2 linked regions of the Danio rerio genome follow. The protein of the gene in region 2 purifies or fractionates together with the protein of the main gene of each other region. This does not show direct contact. Links are inferred from orthologs where the notes say so. Each region holds a gene or a part of one and is shown on either strand. Other genes may lie near its edges.

The links.
Region 1: the proteins of ppp6c (region 2) and ankrd44 purify together in Homo sapiens (affinity purification with mass spectrometry; 5 studies listed by BioGRID and IntAct, counting the BioPlex papers as one, with this or other methods). This does not show direct contact. The link is inferred for Danio rerio from reciprocal best matches to the Homo sapiens genes PPP6C and ANKRD44.

Annotation. Positions count from the first base shown.
Region 1 is NC_133184.1:33,817,156-33,823,215, reverse strand, and holds part of ankrd44 (serine/threonine-protein phosphatase 6 regulatory ankyrin repeat subunit B), read left to right. Parts: intron 1-817; coding exon 818-901; intron 902-2,993; coding exon 2,994-3,072; intron 3,073-3,371; coding exon 3,372-3,442; intron 3,443-4,545; coding exon 4,546-4,746; intron 4,747-5,727; coding exon 5,728-5,815; intron 5,816-6,060. UniProt on the Homo sapiens protein: Putative regulatory subunit of protein phosphatase 6 (PP6) that may be involved in the recognition of phosphoprotein substrates.
Region 2 is NC_133180.1:32,596,120-32,602,780, reverse strand, and holds the start of ppp6c (serine/threonine-protein phosphatase 6 catalytic subunit), read right to left. Parts: upstream 4,333-6,661; 5' UTR 4,256-4,332; coding exon 4,181-4,255; intron 3,463-4,180; coding exon 3,367-3,462; intron 3,257-3,366; coding exon 3,191-3,256; intron 3,079-3,190; coding exon 2,937-3,078; intron 2,853-2,936; coding exon 2,773-2,852; intron 1-2,772. Other genes in the region: myo1hb (unconventional myosin-Ih), read right to left, coding at 6,243-6,269.

The DNA of each region.
Region 1 (6,060 bases), on a different chromosome or scaffold from region 2:
TTGTTTTAATAATGTCCTTTACACTTACCCCAACCCTAAACCTAACCTCACAGTAACCTGTTGTGTTACACCTACACCAACCCTAAACCCAAACTCACAGTATCCTGTTTTGTTCTATTTATGTCTAATACGCCTACACCAACCCTAAACCAAACCTCAGAGTAACCTGTTCTGTCTTATTAACATCAACACCTAGCCCAACCTCATAGTAACCTGTTGTATTATTTTAACGTCAACCCAAACTCAACCTCACAGTAACCTGTTGTGTTTTATGAACATCTTCACCTACCCAACACTAAACCCAACCTCACAGTAACCTGTTGTGTCTTGTAAACGTCAACACTTACCCCAAGCTCATAGTAACCTGTTGTGTTTTAATAATGTCAACACCTACCTCAACCCTAAACCCAACCTCACAGTATACTGTTGTGTTTTATTAATGTATTATTGTATTAATGTCGGTCACCCAGCCTACTTGTTGTTGAATTCCTCCCACTTGAAGGTCTCCGGTCTGCAGCAATACCTACTTGATTATGTTTTTTGGGGAAAACTAAAACTATCCTAAATGTCATTTTCCTTTTCTAAGGTTTGTAGTTCGTTCATAGTGACTAGACTGACTTTATTGCTGATGGCCAATATCTTCCTTATGTGTGCTGTACACAATTATTTAAACAAAACTTTTCTTCTATTATCCTAATTAGCAGCACATTTACTCCTTAAAATTTCTTAGCGTAGAGCCCATGTTGGAGGAAGCAAATTCTCTAAGTTTGAGTAATATTAACACTTATGCTTTCTAACTAACCTCTGTTGTTCACAGCCACCGCTAGTCCAAGCCATCTTTAACGGAGACCCAGATGAGATTCGTGTGCTCCTATGTAAATCAGAAGACGTCAATGCACTGGTATGAGTCAGTTTCTTCTGCTCTTCTCCTCACATGACTATATCTCATCCCTTTGTTACTTGCAGCACAACAGTCGAGGAATCCCATGGAAAGCTGCCAGAGATTTATATACGTTGGTTTCAGTAAAAGCAACAGGACACAAAATAGTTTTCAGGGTTATTCTTCTTCCAGGATATTTATTTATTCGGCTTGCCTGTCTGTGTCCGCCCTAATGGCTCCAGCAAGAATTAGCTTGCTGTCCGAATGTTTTATGAAGAGCCGCCGGTCACGATTTCAGGCTGGATGTGCAAACAGGTTCAGACAATGGACACGCTGAGATGTCACCACTGCCAGTGTGTGTGCACATTAGTGCTACAGGGATTTGTAAAGACTCCTTTGTTGTGCACCGCTTTGCAATGACAGACAATCAGCATATTCTATTAAGAAGTTAAAAAGTCTTAAAAAGGCCCAATTCTCTGTTAAAACGTTTTGACAAATTTTTATCTGCTCTACAATTCACATTAAATGCTTTTTCAAACTATTTCTTTGTCGAATTCATGCAGCATATTTCCAGTAGAAACAGGATTTTAGAGTAAAACATAAGGATCTTCAGGATTTTCTCAACATTCTGTAGATGTAAAATAAAGGTTAATATGAGTAGCCTATTCTTATTTCTTAAATACACTGTAAAACAAAACTAATCTACGTGTAGGTCTACTGTTGGTTAAAATGCTAAAGTTTGTATAGACTTGCATTGGTGGACTTGACTAGACTTTAAATTTGTCCTGGTTGTTAATTCACAGTATAGTGATGACACCAGAATACAACTATTTATAATTATGAAGTTGAATTATTATGTTTGAGACATTTGTCTCTGACAACATTATTAGACCTTTTTATTCCACTGGTAAAACGAAAAATTTGTCATTATCAGATTCCCTCTTGCATTATATTCAACATTATATAGGCTAAAGTAGTTGTAATATTGACAGTGTTGCACATTTATTCTCATGCACAACACTTTGTATTCGCTATGAAAAAAAAAACATATCAGATGCTTGTTATAATCATAACTGCACAATGCGATAGGATTATTTAAATGATGTGCGTGGTTTTGGTTTCACTTTCACTGGTCAGTGCGGCTCATGTCACGGCTGCTGTCACTTTGGAAAAAATAAAGCATACATGGAAATCATATTTCCCATGCGGCTCCCAAAAGATCACTTTAACTGAACGTTACTTACATCTATATTACCTGTTATTCACAGCCTATGTGAATTACAGTTAATATGTTTGTTCACTAAAAGTTGACATCATTCACCAGCACGCGTGTGTCCTCTCAGTAGTAAACAAACAAAATTTGTGATTTCGCAGCTGCAAATACCTCATAACATTAAGACAGAAATGACATTTTCGGGTTAATTATACCTTATGAATAAAGTGTGTGACACTTTTAACACCATTCGGAGGTGTTTGTGTTGCTGAGCAATATATATAAAACAACGTAAAGATTTGTGCGGCACCTTTATGCTTCGCCCGAACTTGAAATATATTTGGCTGAATGGTACAAATGCTGAATTGAGATCTTGTGGGGGCGTTGAATCATGATCGCAATCTTTTTTCGATTAATTGTGCTGCCCGATTTACATGTGCTAGTTGTGGTAGTTGTTTTTTGCTATAGGTAGTTGTAGATGGTATTGAAAAATGTCTGCAATTTTTCCAGACAAAAGTTATTATAGGTGCAAACTTACTGGTAGAAAATATACCACAATTTAAAGAGCTATTTACAAATTTACTACAATTGTAAAGGGTTAGCAAAAATCCTTGTAAAAATATTAGTAAATGTTTACATAATTGACTGTATTTTAAGCTTTGGTGAGCAAAAGCAGAGCAATGCATTATTTCACAAGCATTTAAAAAACAAATAGGCCCTAAAGATTTGAATGGCAGTCATGCGTTTTTCTTGTGTCATTTAAAATGCGTTTCATTCTGTGCTTGTTTGCTTTGCTTGTAGTTGGGGTCCTAAGCGAACTCACGTGGAGTAAAAGCCACAAAACCTTGATTTGATTCAACATCTTCTTTCCACCATCTCTGTCACCTGTCTCTTTTTCAGGATGCTGAGAAACGTGCTCCCCTGCATGCAGCAGCCTTCCTCGGAGATGCTGAGATCACAGAGCTCCTCATTGTGTCAGGTGTTTCTCTCTCCCTCCATTTCTTCATTACCTCAATTCTATAGTAGCTTTATAGACAACTCTTATAAAAAATGCAGTCCTTTAAAAGATTATGATTACTCAAGCTGAAAATTATGCCATTATCTATTTACAATCACATTGTTTTAAATTCTGTGTTTATCTATTTGGAATTGTATCAACATGAGGGTGAATGACAGACTATTTCTTTTGGGTGAACTATCCCTTTACTGTTCAATTAAACATTCCTCATTTTTTAGATATTAATAGTTTTATTTTTCTCTTTTACTACCTCATTTTAGGTGCACGGGTCAATGCCAAAGACAATATGTGGTTGACTCCACTCCACAGGGCAGTGGCATCACGTAGCGAGGTGGGGACAAACATGTTTCAGTGAGAACCAGATGTGTAATAATGTCACACAGCAGGATGCCTTTACAACAATGCTAATCATATGCAGCAGCTTCTGTGTGATTATAAATTAGGGTTGGGCGATGTTGACCAAGTTGGCATCAGATGATGTCTAATGTGAAACATCGAGATGGACGATGGCATCGTCGTCGTAGGGATGAATTACTTATGAATAATAAATTAATTCATAACAAAATAATAAATTGTAGCCTACTGTTTCAACTACCTGACCAGCTTGGTCTTTGTTTTACCCATAACCAAATCATACATAAATAAAGATAAGTTACACACAAATTACCACTTGACAATCACTTTTTCCGCATGAATAGGCAGAGTGGTCTGTGTCGTTATAATGGCTTCCACAAACTTGGTTGATAAAACAAAGTGCACAACCAACATTATCTGAGGTTTTTGCTAAAATTAGTAAGTACAAGCGTGAAAGCAAAAGATTGAAGCAGTGTACTGATGTTGTGACACATTACCTGATCGTTTCAAAAGACTGAAGAGCCGTTAGATAGAGACAAGATTAATTAAATATCATGTTTAGCAACTATAGTGAGACACAATTTAGCGGTACATCTTTAATAAACTGTCAGATGTGCACTGCTCTCTGGGGTTTTGTGCTCAAAGCACCCACTGACTGCCTGGAGCTCAGATGTGCACGTATGCTAGAGAGCATGACAGCGTGTGTGTGTGTGTGGTCACGTGATGTGCCTTTTCAACGTTATAGTGTGGAAGGAGGGCTGTTCAGAAATGCTAATTGAAATGCCCGTGTGGACGTGATTCGTTTTTGTTCTACAATTCCATTTTAAAACTAAGACGTATTAGTGTAAACAGGATCTAAGTGTGTGTTTATGAGCGGGTTGCTGCTGCGATGGGGGCGGGGTGGAGGATCGAGATGTCGGCTCAGCATCGTGATGTCTATCACACATCAGGGATAGACGATGGCATCGTCTGTCGACCCAACCCTATTATAAATGTATTTTTTTAACCCTTAATTCTGATTGGTCACATATTTTCCTACTGTCCCAATATAATGACATGATTTTCTTGAACTATTTTCAGGAAGCTGTTCGTGTGCTAATTCGTCATTCTGCTGATGTTAATGCTCGGGATAAAAACTGGCAGACACCTCTGCATGTCGCTGCCGCCAACAAGGCCCTGCGCTGTGCTGAGGTCATCATCCCACTACTGAGCAGCGTTAACGTATCAGATCGTGGAGGACGCACCGCCCTGCACCACGCTGCCCTCAATGGGCACACAGAGGTACTGCTAGTTGAAAACAAAATTGTGAAGTCCTTTTCAAAGGTGCACTAATTTCATTTTAAAGCGGACCTGCTATGCCTGTTTTAACGAAATGTTAAATAAGTCTCTGATGTCCCTAGAGTGTGTATGTAAAGTTTCAGCTCAAAATACCACACAAATAATGTTTAATAACTCTTTAAAACTGCCTCTTTTATACAAGAATAGACACACTGAAGACACCCATGATCAAGTAGTCTGGTGTGATGATGATGCAATAGCCCCTCCCCCTAAAATAGACTTGACACTGGGAGTTGATTCCTGTCTTGACACTAGAGAGTCCAGGAATTGACTCTTCTGAAGTTGATTCCCCATGCCTACTTCAGTTATTTTGAAAACAGCACACTGAACATTTACATGTATTTGAATAATTATCCATAAGTCACCATCTTTCAAGATTTATCTCACTTTTCTGGACACTCAAAGTGGTTTAATGAACAGTATAGAGTCCCCATCACTATATTAGGGCATTAGGTCCCACACAGACCACAGATTGAGCCTCCCCTGCTGGCCTCTCTTATATATTTTCCAGCAGTAACCTAATTTTCTAATGTGGTCTCCCATCCCAGATGTTGACCAGTTGAAGCAGTGAGCTAGCAGCCGACATTTTAAAGTCTTTCTGAGAAAACTTCCTGAGCACACAGTCCCTGTTGTTTGACACTAATTGTTGGAAATCCATTGTGGCAGCTCCACTATGGCAATTTTTAGATAGGAAGTCACATTCGCTCTGCTACATACACAATTTCCCACATGTTGTGAAAAATCTCAACAATGCAGAATGGGTTTGAAAGTCATTATATAAACTATGACACAAACACATAGAACACAATAAGGCTTCAGGAGACCTGTAATTACTGACACACTCATGCCTTATTGCCTGTTGAGACTGACACACGCACACTCAGTTTCTTAATGTTATTCACTTTCCTCTCTCTTTTTCTTCAGATGGTGAGTCTCCTTCTGGCAAAGGGTGCTAACATCAACGCTTTTGATAAAAAAGACTGCCGTGCACTACACTGGGCAGCATATATGGGTGAGGGGATGTCCAATAAAACTTGTGACACTCTGCACACACATGCAATGTTTACGCTTCAATTTTGAATTAAGACGCAAAATATTAGTTACCACGGGGCTGTCAATAAAATCACAGCTTATGCAGTCTGTATTCAAATAGGGTGGGTGACATCATGCACTGTGTTTTACAATAATATTGTATATATTTTATTTAGTTTTTGAAGGAATAAACCCTTGATAAAGACTTGTTTTGCTTTTGAATAA
Region 2 (6,661 bases):
TAACAATGAATTACATTTCTCATTATGATACTGCCTTGAATGTGCATGAATGTATGTTATCTGCTATAAAATGTCTGTTACTTTATGAAAAATAACTGTATAGTTTGCATCGAACAAAAATGAAGCATTGCAGTAAGAAATATTTATTTTGAACTGCTGTTTTTATATGCACATCAATTTATTAAATAATATTTCTGCTACAAAACAAACAAAAGATTATAATAAATCATTCAATTCAATGATGAAAGCTGCAAAGCAGTCATCAGTAAATAAATCAAAAATAATATACACCTCAAAAAAAGAATAGACAAAAGAAAGAAAGTAAAGTCTCACTTCTATCACTCTTTAAAAGTTTTGGTTTCAGTTTGTGTCAATTTAAAGGTTCAGTCTGAGCTGATCTTCATCTTTCTGTGTTAGTGGAAAAGCAGGCGAGTCAGCTGACCCAATTTATGAGCAGGCAGAGCAGGATTCTTGCGATGACCACCGGCGAAATACCGCTCTTTGTTATGAGCCGCAGTTTCAGTGTAAACTTAGTAAAGGCGAGCTTCTTTGGCGATGATATGTACAGTATTAGATTTGACTTTTAGCGGACATTTGCGCTGAACACGCAGTGAATGCGACGCATGGAGATTCGGGCGCCTTCTCCAAGAAGCGCGTACTCAATTGATCTCAGCTGGTGGATCATTATTCACCACGTGACGTGTCATGATCGCTCTCATCTGCACCTCAACTTTAGGTGGGGTTTGCAAACCTGTGTGCTTTAAGTCTTTACTCTTCAGCCGTTTGCATTTCCCGTGGTCATAAAAGCTCCTTTCCTGTCATCTGACAGCGGAATACCTTGAGTGAATGAAAGCTAATATGAACCAATTTAGCGGCAGGGAAGAGCGATTCAGCACGTTTTTACAAAAAATCAAAACAGGTCGCACTACAACCATTATCTGCAGTCGCACTAATGCGCCCAAATATATTATGAGGTCGCATAGATTAATTTTCGGGCGCATGTGCGACCAAAATGGGCGCAATTTCGAGCCCTGAGGGGTCTCAAACTCGCGGCCCGCGGGCCATTTGCGGCCCTCAGTGCAATATTTTGTGGCCCGCGCCGACCGCTGTACACTGACAGAATCAGCGGAGCGGGGAGAGAGAGCGCTCCCCGCTCCGCTGATTCTATCCGTACACAGCGGTCACTGGCATTCCCCGCCCGCCGTGTAAACAAAGGGGCGGGGATGCCGGTGAAGTCACCACGCACCCCGCCCCTTTGTTAGACGCTGTGACGGGCGGGAAGTGTTAGGAGGGAACTCGCGCCGGCCAGAACCAAGGTAAGCTGTTCCAGCCCCTGCCTGCCACTTGGCTACCTATCTGCAGCCTGCCACCTACCTAGCTACAGCCTGCATCTTATATATATTATAGGTAGATACAGACTGGTACAGACTGATGTGACTGGAGTGGGGTGGGGGTGTTTTATTTATACATATACGCCTTTTTTTTAGGTGAGGGAATGGAAGTTTTGAGTGAGTTCCCCCAAGCCATACTGAGGGTCTCAACTGCTTCCGCTCTAAAGCCAAATGTGGTTCAGATTTGTGAGAAGAAGCGCTGTCAAGTCTCTGGCAGCAAGGAGTAGGCAAAAGATGCCATGTTCAGAAGAACTGTTCATAATCTTCACTCAATGTTCTATTAATGTTCAGGACACTTCATGTTCAGAAGAAATAATTAAAACTGTTAATAATGACATTTGAGGACTTTTTTTTGTGAAATCCCTTATGCGGGCCAGCCTCACCCAGACTTTGCCTCCTGCGGCCCCCAGGTAAATTGAGTTTGAGACCCCTGTTCTACATTGAGGTAGCGAAAAAAAAAAAAACAGTGAAGAAACTCGACACAGAGGAACATAAAAACCTCACTGCCAGCTAGCGTTTCGAAAGAGTTATTACAGAGCAACACAAACAGCGCGCATAGGATAGTGTAGAGGTTATCGGATGCACACTTCACAATCTCACTGGAAGCAAGAGGTGTTCCAAGTACTTCTCGTATACTGTTTTTTCCAAATAATATGAATTAAGACAAACTGCTCCACTTACATGTTGATTTTCCACATAGTATATAATAGGGAAATATGCGATTTCGGACACAGCCCTATAGTCATGACTATAAATTCAAGATCTTGGGTGCAAGTGGTCGAAATTAACTTCCTCCGCAGAGAGGCAGGGGGTACCCTTATAGATGGAGTGAGGGAGCTCTATCACTTAGGAGGGACTCAGTGTAGAGTCGCTACTCCACATGGAGAGACGTGGCCAAGACATCTATTTTGAATGCTTCCTAGAACTGTTCTGGACTTGTCCCACCAGGAGGAGGCTAAGGGGAAGACCAATGACTCGCTAAAGGAACTGTCACTCGCTTGCCTGGGAATACCTTAAGATCCCCCAGTGGAACTAGAGAAAGTGCCCAGAGAGAGGGAAGTATGAGGTTCTCTCCTGAGACTGCTGCCCCAATGACCTAGCTCCGGATAAGCGCAAGACAATAACTGGATGTATAGTTTCCTACATTTCTTTTATACCAATTCATACTTAGAAATATAAACAGTTTCATTAATCCAAAAATTATTTGATTTAAACAAAAACATCCTAAAATTATTTGATTTAAACAAAAACATGTGTTTCCTGAGTGAGGCCCATTAGTAAGAAGACCAAAACAAATATTGATAATGTTGAGATGTGTGATTGATAGATAGACAGACAGACAGATAGACAGACAGATAGGTATTCCAAAATCAACACTTACGGCAGCAACAGTGAGCATGTCGAATACTTTAGTGCAGTATCGCCAGGCATTAGCATTTCCATATTTAGTTTGGCACTCATCTGTAGACAGAAAGCCAAAACAATTAAAATCCCAAGTAAATTCAAAACAAAATATTTCAAAATCTCTGATTTCTGCAGCCTTACCATAAAAGCCATAGACCTGTGTAATCTGCCTACTCTCGTGATTGCCACGCAACAGTGTGATGCGGTCAGGCCACTTTGCTTTAAGTGCTAGCAAATATGTGAATGTTTCTAAGCTGTAATATCCTCGGTCAACAAAGTCACCCTGGATGAAAGAAAACATACCAATGTCTCCTCAATAGATGATGGTGGAACAATTTCCAACGCAGTACTAATCACAAATCATCAATTAAAATTATTGTTGTAATATACTTCACCATGAAAATGTAGTTTGTATCTGGTACTTGGCCCCCAGTTCTAAAGAGTTCACATAGGTCATAAAACTATTTATAAAAGAAAAAAAAAAGCTTAGTCAGTATGCATGTTTTTACAAAAACACGACATCAGCTCAACATCAATACCAGGGATGCATTAATGGAGCCTGCACACACACCTGTCCATGAATGTCCCCGCATACAGTGACTGGAGTGGATACTGGCTGTACATTTGATTCCTCAAGCAGAAGGTCACATACATAGTCACATAATCTCTGTCAAAGCAATAGAAATGAAGACAAGATTTGAACAAGTTTGTCAAGTGAATGCTATCAACGATGGTGACAGAAGCAGATCTAGCGGCGCATCTAAGGTCACATTTATTAATTTAAAAATGAGCTTTTTTTCCTAAGCCACATTATTTCAACATCGTATAATCATTTGTTTGATCACTGTTGCTATTTTTGTGTCATATTTGGCGGTACTGGATGAAACTGGTAAGACGTTGCATTGCATCATTATGAACTGATCCAGAAGCCCAGTTGTTTACGTACAAGAATTATATTTAAAAACAAACGAATGGAGGACGATTTAATCAAACCTGAAACCTGCTAACAAAGACGCAGATGTCATGAATTAAGATTTAACAAGGTTGATGATGGAAAGCATAAAATGGGCGTTTCAAACTAGTTCGCATGATAGCAACAGAAGTTAGCCACCCTATGTGTCCGCAAGAAAATAGTCCCTTACACAACTTTGTTATGCCCAACTGTCCTTACGGTCGTAACGTTATATACGATTATTTCTGAAAATACGAATGAAATCAATCCCGGAACATAAGATAATAGACTGGACTCATACGCAGCGACTGCATTGCACTGACACACTGCTATTTTAACACCTTCCGCCACAACCAACACGAGTTTATAAATACATCAATCGCTAGCATGTCCAATATTCTAAGAGAAACATAAAATTACTCAGATCAATCACCTTTAAGTCGTTCTCTGGTAGATATTTGCACTGCCTCGCAATTTCAACATACTTATCCAGGTCCAACGGCGCCATTTTAAGAACAACAGTCGATGGAAGACGCGAAGAGGAAGTCTTTCTACGTCACACAGAGTGGTGATGATTGACAAGATGATCAGCCAATCGCAGGCCAGATTTTATATGGAACTTGCAAAGTCGTTACATTCTGTTCATCGCGTTCTCAAAGTAAACTTGAAAAACTAATTTAGCAAGAGCCTGCTTATTAAAAAAAGTTTTTTTTAAAGTGATTCAATTGCGGTTGCTTCCATTCGGCTTATTATAAAAACATTCTCAAGTTACTGACTGACCACGAGGTGGCAACAGAGGTTTGCTTGACGCGTAGCCTTCTCTCCAAAAGGTGTGTGGTGAATTTTCTTTTCTTTTTACATGTCATTTTGGGGTTTTATATTAAAGAAAAAACTATTTCAACTTTTTGTAAACCTCATATTATTTATTATAAAGTTTTTTTTATTCATAAATGTAAATATACTCAATGTAAGCCAAATGAGAATAACAACTGCACTTGAAAACCACTACAGACTCTCATAACAAGAAAGCAGTTAAAACTTATAAAATATGTGCTTTATTTGATATCCTGCATTAATTTGTCTATTTTTTTCATGTGCCCTCTCATCTATTTTTGTTTCTTCTTTGTCTTTCTTTTGCTTTACGTTTACTATATTTCTTTAAAATTGTCCCTTTTCTCTTGTTGAAAAAATATTTATATTATTTGTGCTATACTTCTATCTGATTGTATTTCAGTCTTTTAAAATTGCCTGTTGTTATTGCAATAAAAAAATGAATTAATAAAAAAATGATTTCATACATTACTTTTATTACATTGCTTTTATTTGTATGCTTTAGTTGGAAACATCAGGAACCGTCCACCAAGTGATGACCACTGCAAATAGTTTATACAATAGATGAACTGAATTACCAAGAGAAAAAAGACATCACAAATTAAAAAAGTACAATACATTATTATAAAAATGAGTCTACCGTCTTGATTTCATTAAGTTACATATATTTCTGCTGCATTTTAAGACAACAGCCAAACAAATTTCAATGGATTGTTCAGATAAAGCATGACAACAACTGGCTGTCCAGGAATTACTATCAAACATATATCATATTACAGCTTACAAATATTACATATGTTCTGTATCTCATATTAAATGGCATTTTATATTTGAAACTTTATTCAAATTATGTAAATACATTGTTTTTTCTCATGTGTTCTGGGCATAACCAGCTTACGTGTATGTTTGTCAATGCAATGAAGCTGGCATGTTGCATGTTGTCAGGTTTTGGCAGTATGGGAGATAAAACAAAATACAAATACAAAAATGAGCACAGTATAAGTTTTTCTGTCATGATACCCAATGTATGAGATTAACAAGTAGGCTACAGCACTTCATTTGGACAATTTTTTTTAAAAAAAGTTCCGCTTTAAAGCAACAATTAACATACATTTTGTCCATCAGAAAAGTGCACAGTTTAGCAAGCTCAAAGACAAACTCAATTCCATTTGATAAGAAATATTAGTCCTTTTCATGAAATGCTGAATATTTATAACAAAATATGAGTTTATAAAAAGCACAACAAAACAATGTACAGTAAACAGCTAAAAATACAGAATTTAAACACTTCAAATTATACAAACGAAACAAAACAAAAAAAAACAGAAGTCCAGCTATTTTAATACACCAGCTCAACTTGTTGACTTTTCTTCTTAATAAATGTGAATGGTAAATGTGCGTACGTGAATAAATTGTTGAATAAAGTTTTATTATTCGTCCCTTGAAGAATAAAGTCATTTTTAAAAATATTCTAAAGCAGTTTTACCCAACTCTAATCCCTTGAGGAACCCTAAAAGCACATATTATGCCTCCCACATGTGATTCACATATTTTGTTTAGGTCTAAATGTTATTTTGTTTCTTATTGAGCTGATGAATGTATTAATTTGTGTGCCTCCATGCATTACTGTTCCACTGTGGAGAAGTCTGTGAGGTAAAACTTTGTCATCGAGATTTTGTTCGTGCAGATTCCTGCAAAAGAAAACATGTAAATATGTATAAATGATCACTGTGAAGGGATGTCAATTGTTTTATTTATTGAATTATTTATTAACTACACTGCATGATATTATAGCTTAATTAATAGCATAGTATTATTATCATATATAATGATAAACATACAGTTGAAGTCAAAACTATTAGCCCTCCTGTGATTTTTTTCTTCCCTTTTTCAAATATTTCCCAAATGATGTTTAAATATACACAAATATATATATATATATATACACACACACACACACATATATATATACACACATTATATATATATATATATATATATATATATATATATATATATATATATACACATATTATATATATATATATATATATATATATATATATATATATATATATATATA